2 linked regions of the Oryza sativa Japonica Group genome follow. The protein of the gene in region 2 binds, or shares a complex with, the protein of the main gene of each other region. Links are inferred from orthologs where the notes say so. Each region holds a gene or a part of one and is shown on either strand. Other genes may lie near its edges. The genes, in order: protein PEROXIN-4 and peroxisome biogenesis protein 22.

The links.
Region 1: the proteins of peroxisome biogenesis protein 22 (region 2) and protein PEROXIN-4 are in contact, whole or in part, in a crystal structure (PDB 6XOD), measured with the Arabidopsis thaliana proteins. The link is inferred for Oryza sativa Japonica Group from reciprocal best matches to the Arabidopsis thaliana genes PEX22 and PEX4. Residues at the interface, in NP_566696.2 of Arabidopsis thaliana: Tyr182, Val187, Leu188, Asp189, Asp190, Glu193, Asp214, Lys215, Leu217, Phe218, Cys219, Ser220, Thr221, Gly224, Ser227, Phe228, Arg230, Gln231, Leu232, Glu233; in NP_001031939.1 of Arabidopsis thaliana: Phe78, Phe84, Lys85, Asn125, Asp127, Asn130, Leu131, Gly135, Asp136, Val137, Arg138, Gly139, Ser142, Met143, Met146, Tyr147, Arg149, Leu150.

What each region holds. Positions count from the first base shown.
Region 1 is NC_089036.1:25,937,607-25,942,166, forward strand, and holds the start of protein PEROXIN-4, read right to left. Parts: upstream 2,812-4,560; 5' UTR 2,714-2,811; intron 2,058-2,713; 5' UTR 2,017-2,057; coding exon 2,011-2,016; intron 1,305-2,010; coding exon 1,185-1,304; intron 1,095-1,184; coding exon 966-1,094; intron 662-965; coding exon 532-661; intron 1-531. Other genes in the region: proteasome subunit alpha type-2, read left to right, coding at 3,116-3,156, 3,256-3,332, 4,252-4,316, 4,426-4,472. UniProt on the Arabidopsis thaliana protein: Required for peroxisome biogenesis. Necessary for the developmental elimination of obsolete peroxisome matrix proteins. May be involved in the ubiquitination of PEX5, targeting it for recycling.
Region 2 is NC_089038.1:32,505,503-32,509,885, reverse strand, and holds the start of peroxisome biogenesis protein 22, read right to left. Parts: upstream 2,831-4,383; 5' UTR 2,630-2,830; coding exon 2,480-2,629; intron 1,451-2,479; coding exon 1,217-1,450; intron 1,129-1,216; coding exon 1,081-1,128; intron 978-1,080; coding exon 921-977; intron 839-920; coding exon 737-838; intron 406-736; coding exon 340-405; intron 222-339; coding exon 120-221; intron 48-119; coding exon 1-47. Other genes in the region: cyclin-P1-1, read right to left, coding at 3,949-4,336. UniProt on the Arabidopsis thaliana protein: May be tethered PEX4 to the peroxisome membrane and may be involved in a late step of the matrix protein import. Does not play a role in the biogenesis of the peroxisomal membrane.

The sequences.
Region 1 (4,560 bases), on a different chromosome or scaffold from region 2:
AAGAATGAGGACAAGGAACTTGAAACTCGCGATGATGTAGCAAACACCTTTTAATGGCCCTTACAAGTTGGACTCTAACTGGGAAGAGATAACAATTGGAAAGATATACTATTTCAATGTAACGAACTAATCTAATCAGCATCCCAAGCACACCCGCCACCCGAGGTGGACTCAGCCTCGTCCTGGGACTCATTGGCCCTCGCCTAGGACAACGGTGATACTGGAGTCTGACCATATCAATTATCACGTAATTCCTTTGGTTATATAGAGGGGCTCCATTAGAGTAAATAGCCAAGTTTTTCTCCATATTTTTTAACTGGCTAATGTACCATGTGACAATAATTAGAACCAAATATTTTCATGTCTCAAACTACTCCAAAAAGATCACATCATGGAGTGGTTGAGGCCTCGAAGATGGAAATCTTCATGCACCATAGCTTGATTCAGTGAGAGCATGAACATCTATTACTTTCACATTACAAAATAATGGCTGAACTATATGTGGCAGAATTAGTAGGAAGGTGGAGCTACCTGAGTCACAGTTAAGTGGACTGTCTGGTTCAGGATGGGCCATCAATGCAATTATGGCTCTACAAACGGATTGTAGTGTCCATGCTGGGCTCCACGCATTCTTCAAGATATCCAGGCAAATCTCACCTGTCTGGAAACACAAACAAGGTAAAAAGAATGATAACTGAAATTACTCCTTCAATTCTGTTAATTCAGATGTAACAATATAGAAGCGACTTGACAAAAACAATAACAGGAAGAGCACAGTTGAGTCTACACAGTAAATTCTGTCATGTTAGTACATTCAGATTGTTACAGGAAAACCTGATAAAATGAAGAAGATGACAGCAACTTCATATTTACATTCTCACCAACACTTGAAAGAGACAAATGCCTTCAAATAGGTCAAATTTCCTAAAGTAAAATGTACGCAGAGAAGGCAATGCAGAAGTAACCTTGAAATGCACATTCGGGTGGAAAATTTTGGTCAAGAAGCGAACTTGCGGAGGAAGGAGAGGGTATTGCTCAGGAATAGAGAATGCAAGTTGAAATACACCACCTTCAAAAGGTGTCTCCGAAGGGCCCTAACAACATATACAATCAGAAAAGGCATTAGTTAAAAACTTATATTGCTGTTTCTAGCATCACCTTGCAAGTTGCAATATAAAAACCACCTTGATAAGAGCAGTCCACTTGAATATGTTTGAATCATCGCAGATTAACTGGATATCTGGATCAGCTGACTTTTCTCGCTGCACCTCCTTATACTCCTTAAAGAGCCTAGCTCTAGATGCCTTTCGATAGAAAATATTTTGAAGACATTCAGATAGCATGTTAGGAACCAAACTAAAGGAGCAATTCACATACTTCCTCCGTTTCACAATGTAAGTCATTCTAGCATTTCCCACATTCATATTAATGTTAATGAATCTAGATAGATAGATATGCCTAGATTCATTAACATCAATATAAATGTGGGAAATGCTAGAATGACTTATATTGTGAAACGGAGGGAGTAGTAGTTAAGCTCATTCCAGTTAACAATAATACTGAAAGTCTCTTGGACATGATCTTCCAAACATTTATAAGTTTTATTGTAGTGAAGTAAATCAAGTTATATAATTGAGCCATTAGTAAAAGTAAGGGATGTACACAAACTTTTGCTAGTGTATGACGACAAGAAAGTATGGGTGTACAAAAACCAGTACTGGTCACATTGGTAACCGTCGGCAAAGCTCTCCAACTACCGAGTGCCAACTCTTCCATGCAAACACGCGAGCCCTATACTAGGCGCCAAACCGTTTACTAAAGGAAAAGATGAGTACAGTTATTGCTGCCAAATGTGGATTGTCCTATTAAATGTTACCACCTTAGCATGGACGTCTCAGTGAGACCAGTAAAACATAACCCGAATAATTAGTTGATTAAGAGTTGGCCATCACATTACATACCTAACTAACTATACAAGAAATGTGCAACCAAAGATGAATTAGAACTGACCTGCATCTGGTCTCCTCTCTACTGTTGACTGATATGACAAAGTGTTTCTGTCAAAATGTAACCAAGAGCATAAATAGAAAAAGTTAGAACGGTTTGATTGAGGAACCTTGATTAGCTAAATTGAAATAATCATCATTCACAACTGAAAAGCTAAACAGATAGTAATCGTAATTCCCTGTCCGCTCCATCAATAAATTCATAACAGACTCAATTTCTAGTTATCGCAAACCCAATCTGGTTCTCTAAATGTAATAATAGCCTAATCCAATGTCTTCGAGATACATTCCCTGCGATACACCATCCATACGTTAAAGCTGCTGTGTGCTGTCTACATGTAGAGCGCTCTAAATATAATAAACGAAACCCCGTGTATACACTACTAATCCAAATGGTTCCTACCCCCCATCTCCCCCAATCTGGAGATTTTGCCGACGGGGATCATGGCAGCAGTCGGCGAGCCGCACTGCCCTCCGGGCTCCCGATAACCCAACAACTCCCGGAAGGCACTGGGCCTCCGACCATGGCTTCCACCGCAAATCCACACCAGATATCAGCTTCGAGAGTCTAATACAACAATTCCCCCCACCCGGCAGCCATCGCTTTCCTCAACGCCGCCAAATCCCTAGCCGATCTACCCATGAACGACACATCACGGATACATCGGAATATCGCGGTGGCAAGGGAAGAAATCAAGCGTACGTACCAGCTCGCAGCTCCCCTCCCCGGAGCTCGATCCCGGCGTGGGGAAAGTCGCGTCGTCAGAGGGACTCGGACCGGACAGGAGGACGAACGGGAAGACGCGCAGCCGTTGGCCCGTGGGGAAGAAGTTATGAGGAGGAAGACGACGTGACGGGGAGGTGGGTGAGTCATGGGCTGACCCAATAACAGATGGGCCAGATTTCCGGCCCAAGACCCACCACCTTCTTGCGGAGCAATCCATCCATCCAGTCTCTTTCTCTCTCTCCTCTTCTTCCTTGGCGAGTTGTGCTCTGCCTCCCTCTCCCTTCCCACGCCGTCTCGCCGCAATCGCTCGCTCGGTCGCCTCCTCTTCCGCCGCGAGACACGAAGAGCAGCAGCTCACAGGTAGGCCTGCGCGTCGGCGGCCATGGGAGACAGCCAGTACTCCTTCTCCCTCACCACCTTCAGGTATGTGCTGCCTTGCGCCTCCCTCGCCCGGAGATCGGGCGTGATCTGGTGCGGTTTCGGTTTCGTCATCTGTGGTTTTTGTGGCGATTTCGTTTGCAGCCCGTCGGGGAAGCTGGTGCAGATCGAGCACGCGCTCACCGCGGTCGGATCCGGCCAGACGTCCCTCGGGATCAAAGGTGCGTCCCGTGAAGCAATCCCTTCTCTATACTTCTATTGCGTTATGAGAATCGAGAAGGGGAGGGGAGGTTTGAGATTTTGGCTGGTTCGGTTCACATGACGAAGTGGCGCTTGTTGGGGATTTTGCACTTTTCGCATAACTTTAGGTCGTTGCAGAGCTTTTATTTGTTCTGGAGACCTGGAGTGTGAAGTTTGCTACGGCTTAGGTTACTAATAGGTGCCATGTTACTTGCATCTGCTATTCTGCTTTAGTGATACTTGGGAATTTTGTAATGTTTGCTTCGTTTTCGCTTACAAATGCTTGTGGATTCCATGGAAAATCATTATTAATCTACATAAATGTATGTCTTGTAACAGCAATGGCAAGTGCTCCCCTTTATAACCACATAAGAAATACAAGCTGCTTGGTTTCATCTGTGATGATGAAGTTTTCTATGCCAATTTACGGCGTTGAATGTATATGCTGACCTAGTTTTCCCATTAGTAGTTGTATGTGTGTGCAGTCTGATCTAGTGCCTATTAGGGTTTGGAAGCCCATTTTAGTATCAGTGCAAAATTCTAATTTGTTTGCCCTGTCAACGTCCACCTTACTGGTAGGTTTACATACCCTTAAAATCAGCTTTTGTTGCCACTTGTCAGTATTTATGCAATTTAAAGTCTTGGGGTTTTAGCCCATGAATTTTGTTTTGGTGTATGAAAAATTGAAAGAAACTATTTGACATGCGTTCTTCACGCTGATAGATGTAATTGTTGTATGTAATAAATTTGTGGTGTAGAACATACTGCATATGTTTTTACCAGATTGTTCTATCATATGTTTTTGTGTAGTTACTGCTCAGAGACTACAGTCTGTTGATTCTCTTCAGTTCCCTTTTAGCCTAGTTTATTGATTCTGAGGTATATTTGTTATGTTTGCAGCTGCTAATGGTGTAGTTATCGCCACTGAGAAGAAATTGCCTTCTATTTTAGTCGATGAAACATCTGTAAGTCTAACATCACTCTTAATGCTGAATTCCTCTTTTAGTGAGTTGCGACATGCTATTCGTTGTTTGTTTCTCAGAAGCACTAATACATAGTTATATGCAAATTCAGGTGCAAAAGATTCAGTCATTGACTCCGAACATTGGAGTTGTCTACAGGTAACCTTTTACATTGGCTTCATTGTTGGAATACATTTCTATTTTGTATATATTATGGTTGTCATGTACATGCTATTGTGAGTTATTC
Region 2 (4,383 bases):
CTTTCTGCTCGTTGTGGAGAAATATGTAGTTGATATTTGATAAACCTCTGCAAGGGAGCATAGCAACTCAAAACCTGCTTCTATAAGTATGATACTTGATTGTTAAAATTGTGACTTACAGCTAGCTGATGAACAATTTCTGGACTAGTATCAATGTGCCAATCAGGTTCCAGTTGCCGCACAAAAGAGGTGCGGCCATTTTCTGTACTACAGAAGAGAACCTGCCATTTGAAGAAATGTTACATAAGGTCCATTGCGAACATCCAATGGCTATACCCAAATGAAAAAAAAAACGATTAAGCAGTTATATTTCTGAAGTGACCTCATCATGCGGCTTACCTTGTCCTTTATCAATCCACTGTTCGTAAAAAGTCCAGCTTCACTCAGGGCAGATAACACCTTTTCCTGCAACATTATTCAGTTGTGCTGATGTCAAGCTATAATAGCTCATTCAAATTCCGTACTAGGCAGTGTGTCTATAGTGATGATTCCAAAAATACTCTTCTGCTTTTCTTTTTTTAAAAAAAAAAAGAACCCCTGAACATAATGAAATAAAATAGCAGACCAGGTAGTTGTTCATTCATCGTATTATTCCGATATCAATGGTAAATTGATTACTGTTTATTCCGCGTGCATATGCCGATATCAGTATATATTGACATATCAAGTCTTGAGCATACTTGTAAAGCGTAAAACATAAATGCAACAGAAAAAATGCATGGTCCTTATTACTTACTCCGCTTTCATCGTCAAGAATGCGCTCCATCAGATAGACATCACAGAATTTTGCAATTTCTAGAAGAACCTCCAGGACAGAAGGTCTCACTGTGACATGGTTCTGAAAAAAAAGTATAATTCCGCTAAATTAAATTCGTTAACAAAAAACAGGAAATTTTTTTTGCAGCAGCGCTTTTGCTCACCTGGAGCTCCTCTGGAGTTGTTTCCTCCAAAATCACACCAAGTAACCGGCATGTAACCTAAACATTATAATTCACACATGGGAAAGAAACATGCATTGGTATAACAAAACTTTAAATTTCGTGAAAAAAAAAGGTGTGAAAGCAGTTGCTTGCAAAATACCCTTCGTCCTTCGCTCAGTTTATGCCTAACAAGCTGCTCAAGAGTCAGCTGGAGAAGAATATAAGCAAACTATCAGTCCAAGGATCCTAAAAGCAGATACATCATTTCAGTATTCAGAAAAGGAAACAGGCAATACGTTTACTGGCTGGAAAAGCTGGTTGATTGCTTCCTGTGCTCTTGAATCTGCTGAAGATGAACAAGCATCCGTTGAGGTCAAAGCACCTGGCCGTGATCTACTGCTGGTGTTGCTAGGTGATGGAGCAACGCGTCTACGTGGCCTCCGAGGTTGCTCTTGAGGAGCTCTCAACAGTTTCCAGGCAAAGATAAGTGTGATTGTAATTGCGGCAAGTGTAGTAAATGAGCGAAGTTTCTAAAATAGAAGATTGAAGTAATTCAATAATTCTTGTAGCAAGAATTAATAAAACGGACTTTGTGTGTGAGAAATCACAAAAAATGGCACCAATTCACTCATCCAAACCACAACAACGACTGATACAAGGGATTAAAAATTGACACCAAGTACAATCTTTTGTGGAATAATATGAATGCTCATGCTGTTGCAAGTTGCAACATAGGGCCCAGAAGGTCGATTTTCGAGCGCTACGGCACTTTTAAGTGCTTTCACGTGATTTGATACCTAAAGTCGTTTTAATGACGTTGTAGCGCAGATTTCTGAGCATAGAAATCGGTTTACCTCGCCGTGCATGCACATGTCATGTTCGCATGTGTATGCCTGTGCTTGCATCCATTACTAGCCTAGGATCTGCACGTTGTATTACTACCGAGTTCTTGGAAATAGCGTTGTAAAACACTACAGTCAAGAGAACTTACAAAACGACAACATGCCATTAACGAATTATTTAGTGATTCATTAACTGACTATAGAGGTAAGTAGATCATTCGATGATATCACATAAAGCAAGCCATCATAAAAGTTTGCATCTTTCTGGCCAACCAACACTTCTACATAGTAACTATTTCTCGCAGCACTATTAGCCTATTACTAACCTAAAGGATACATCAAAATCTCAACTATCACAATGACCCAAATACGACCACATTTCCCAAAAGGGAGACATATCATTAGCGAACTGCGAATCCACGCCTAAAAATTTACTACAGCTTCTAGCTTGTACAGCTGCTAAGAACGAATTACCAAATCGATGCTTCGAACTCATATGTATGTAATAACAACTAAACAATAGTAGAATGGCCACAGTATAAAATATAGTTCCAAACAAAAAAGACTAGCCTTCCCCACAAACAATCAAGCAAGGCGCGCCACCTTTACACCACGGACCACCACAAATCCCTAAACAGCGAGGAAAACCTAGAGATTATCAAAACACCGCAAAACACACGCGCGACACGGGGGGGATCACAGATCCGAGCGGCAAACCTGGCGATCGAGGTCGAACGGGAGGCGATCGGAGTAGCGGGCGAGGGCGTCCACTAGGCGCCGCACCAGATCAGCCAGCTCGTCGTCCTTCCCGCCCCCCGCCGCCCCCGCCTCCACCCCCGCCGCCGACGCCGCTGCCCCCGACGACATCGGACGCGCGCCCCCGCTGACCACCAGAACAAGAGGAGGAGGAGGAGGAGGACGCCGCGGCGGCCCGAAACCCTAGCGCGCCCGCTCGCGGCGGCGACGGCGAGGAGGAGGAGGAGGAGGAGGAGAAGATTTGGAGGGGGCGAAGTGTAAATTGTGCCGTCTCTTCTACGAGGGGGCGGGCTGCGACATGTCGGAGGGAATGAGGGCGGAGGAGAGGGAAGCTCGTTGTTTTTGCTTGCGGCGTGGTAGGAGACGGTTATTTTGCAGTTAGGTCCTTGAAGAGTGTCTTTATTTTTGGTAATAGGTCTTTCAGTTTTTTTTTTGTTTTACTCCCAGTCACAGTCTTCATGGTTGAACCAACCAACTGCTCGAACTATGACTTTGGGTGTGTTAGTTACGCGTAAAATTTGAACGTGTCACATCGGATATACGGATACACATTTAAAGTATTAAACGTAATCTAATAACAAAATAAATTAAAGAATCCGTATATAAACCGCAAGACGAATTTATTAAGCCTAATTAATCCATCATTAGAAAATGTTTATTGTAGCATCACATTGTCAAATCATGGCGCAATTAGTCTTAAAAGTTTCGTCTCGCATTTTACACGCAATCTGTGTAATTAGTTGTTTTTTTATTTATATTTAATACTCTATGCATGTGTCCAAACATTCGATGTGACATGTGTAAAATTTTTTTTTGGCGGGGAACTAAACTGGCCATTTGATGAGTTGGTTTTCTTCTATGGTTGGTCTAATTTTGTACTCCTCGGTATGAGCTTTACATGATTTCCTCTTTATTTTTTCCCTTTGAGACCTTGATTTCAACAAACTTAGCCTGATCCATCATGTTTTCTGTACAAACTATTGAAGTACTGTGGTTTTTTTCTCTGCGAGGTTATTAGATGGTGTTTTTACGACACATTGACACACGGAAAAAGAACGGAAAAAAACAGTTTCTTTTTCCGTTTTACACAAGATGGTGGTGTGTTCATGTATATTTTCTCCGTGTTCTAAAAAAATCAACATGATTCATAATATTAGAATATGTTATATCCGGTATTAGGTTGTTTAATGCATGAAAAGAAATTCCATCAAACAACCAACTCTACAACGACTCGACGATTGTTCCAGATTTTCATTTTCATTGCTGAATTGCTGAACAGGCAACGAGTAATGTTCGTGTATGGCAAACATTTGCTAATTGGCACTTTGGCAGGTAATTAATCCGTCTTTAATTTTTTTACAGCCTCAAAAACTCTCGTTGATAACCTGATATATACACACAGAACGCGCTCTTTGGCAACGCTGGCTATACTAGCAATCGAAGGAATACCGCGACGACGACGACGACCTGTGCCGCCGCACGCCGTTCGCCGCCTCCGCCGCCGCCGCCGTACCCAGGCTCCTCCAGTCGTCGTGCTGCGCGGCGCCGTTCACCGCCGCGCGTTCCAGCAGCTTGGACGGCGAGACGGCCGCCATTCTCCCCGCCTTGGCGGCGGCGGCGGCCGACGCGCCGGCGAGCATGTCGCCGCCGCCGCCGTCCCTCCGCGCCTCCTTCTCGAGGTGCTCGCGGTAGAGCTCGTAGACGCGGTGGCTGAGCATGACCTCGAAGTCCAGCACGGCGAGGAGCTCCAGCTCCAGCCTGTTCATCTCCGCGTTGCTCACGCCGCCGACGCGCGCGAAGAACGCGTTGTTGTGGTGGCTGCACACACGCGCGCGAATGGTAATTAACCCAACAGAACTGAAGTA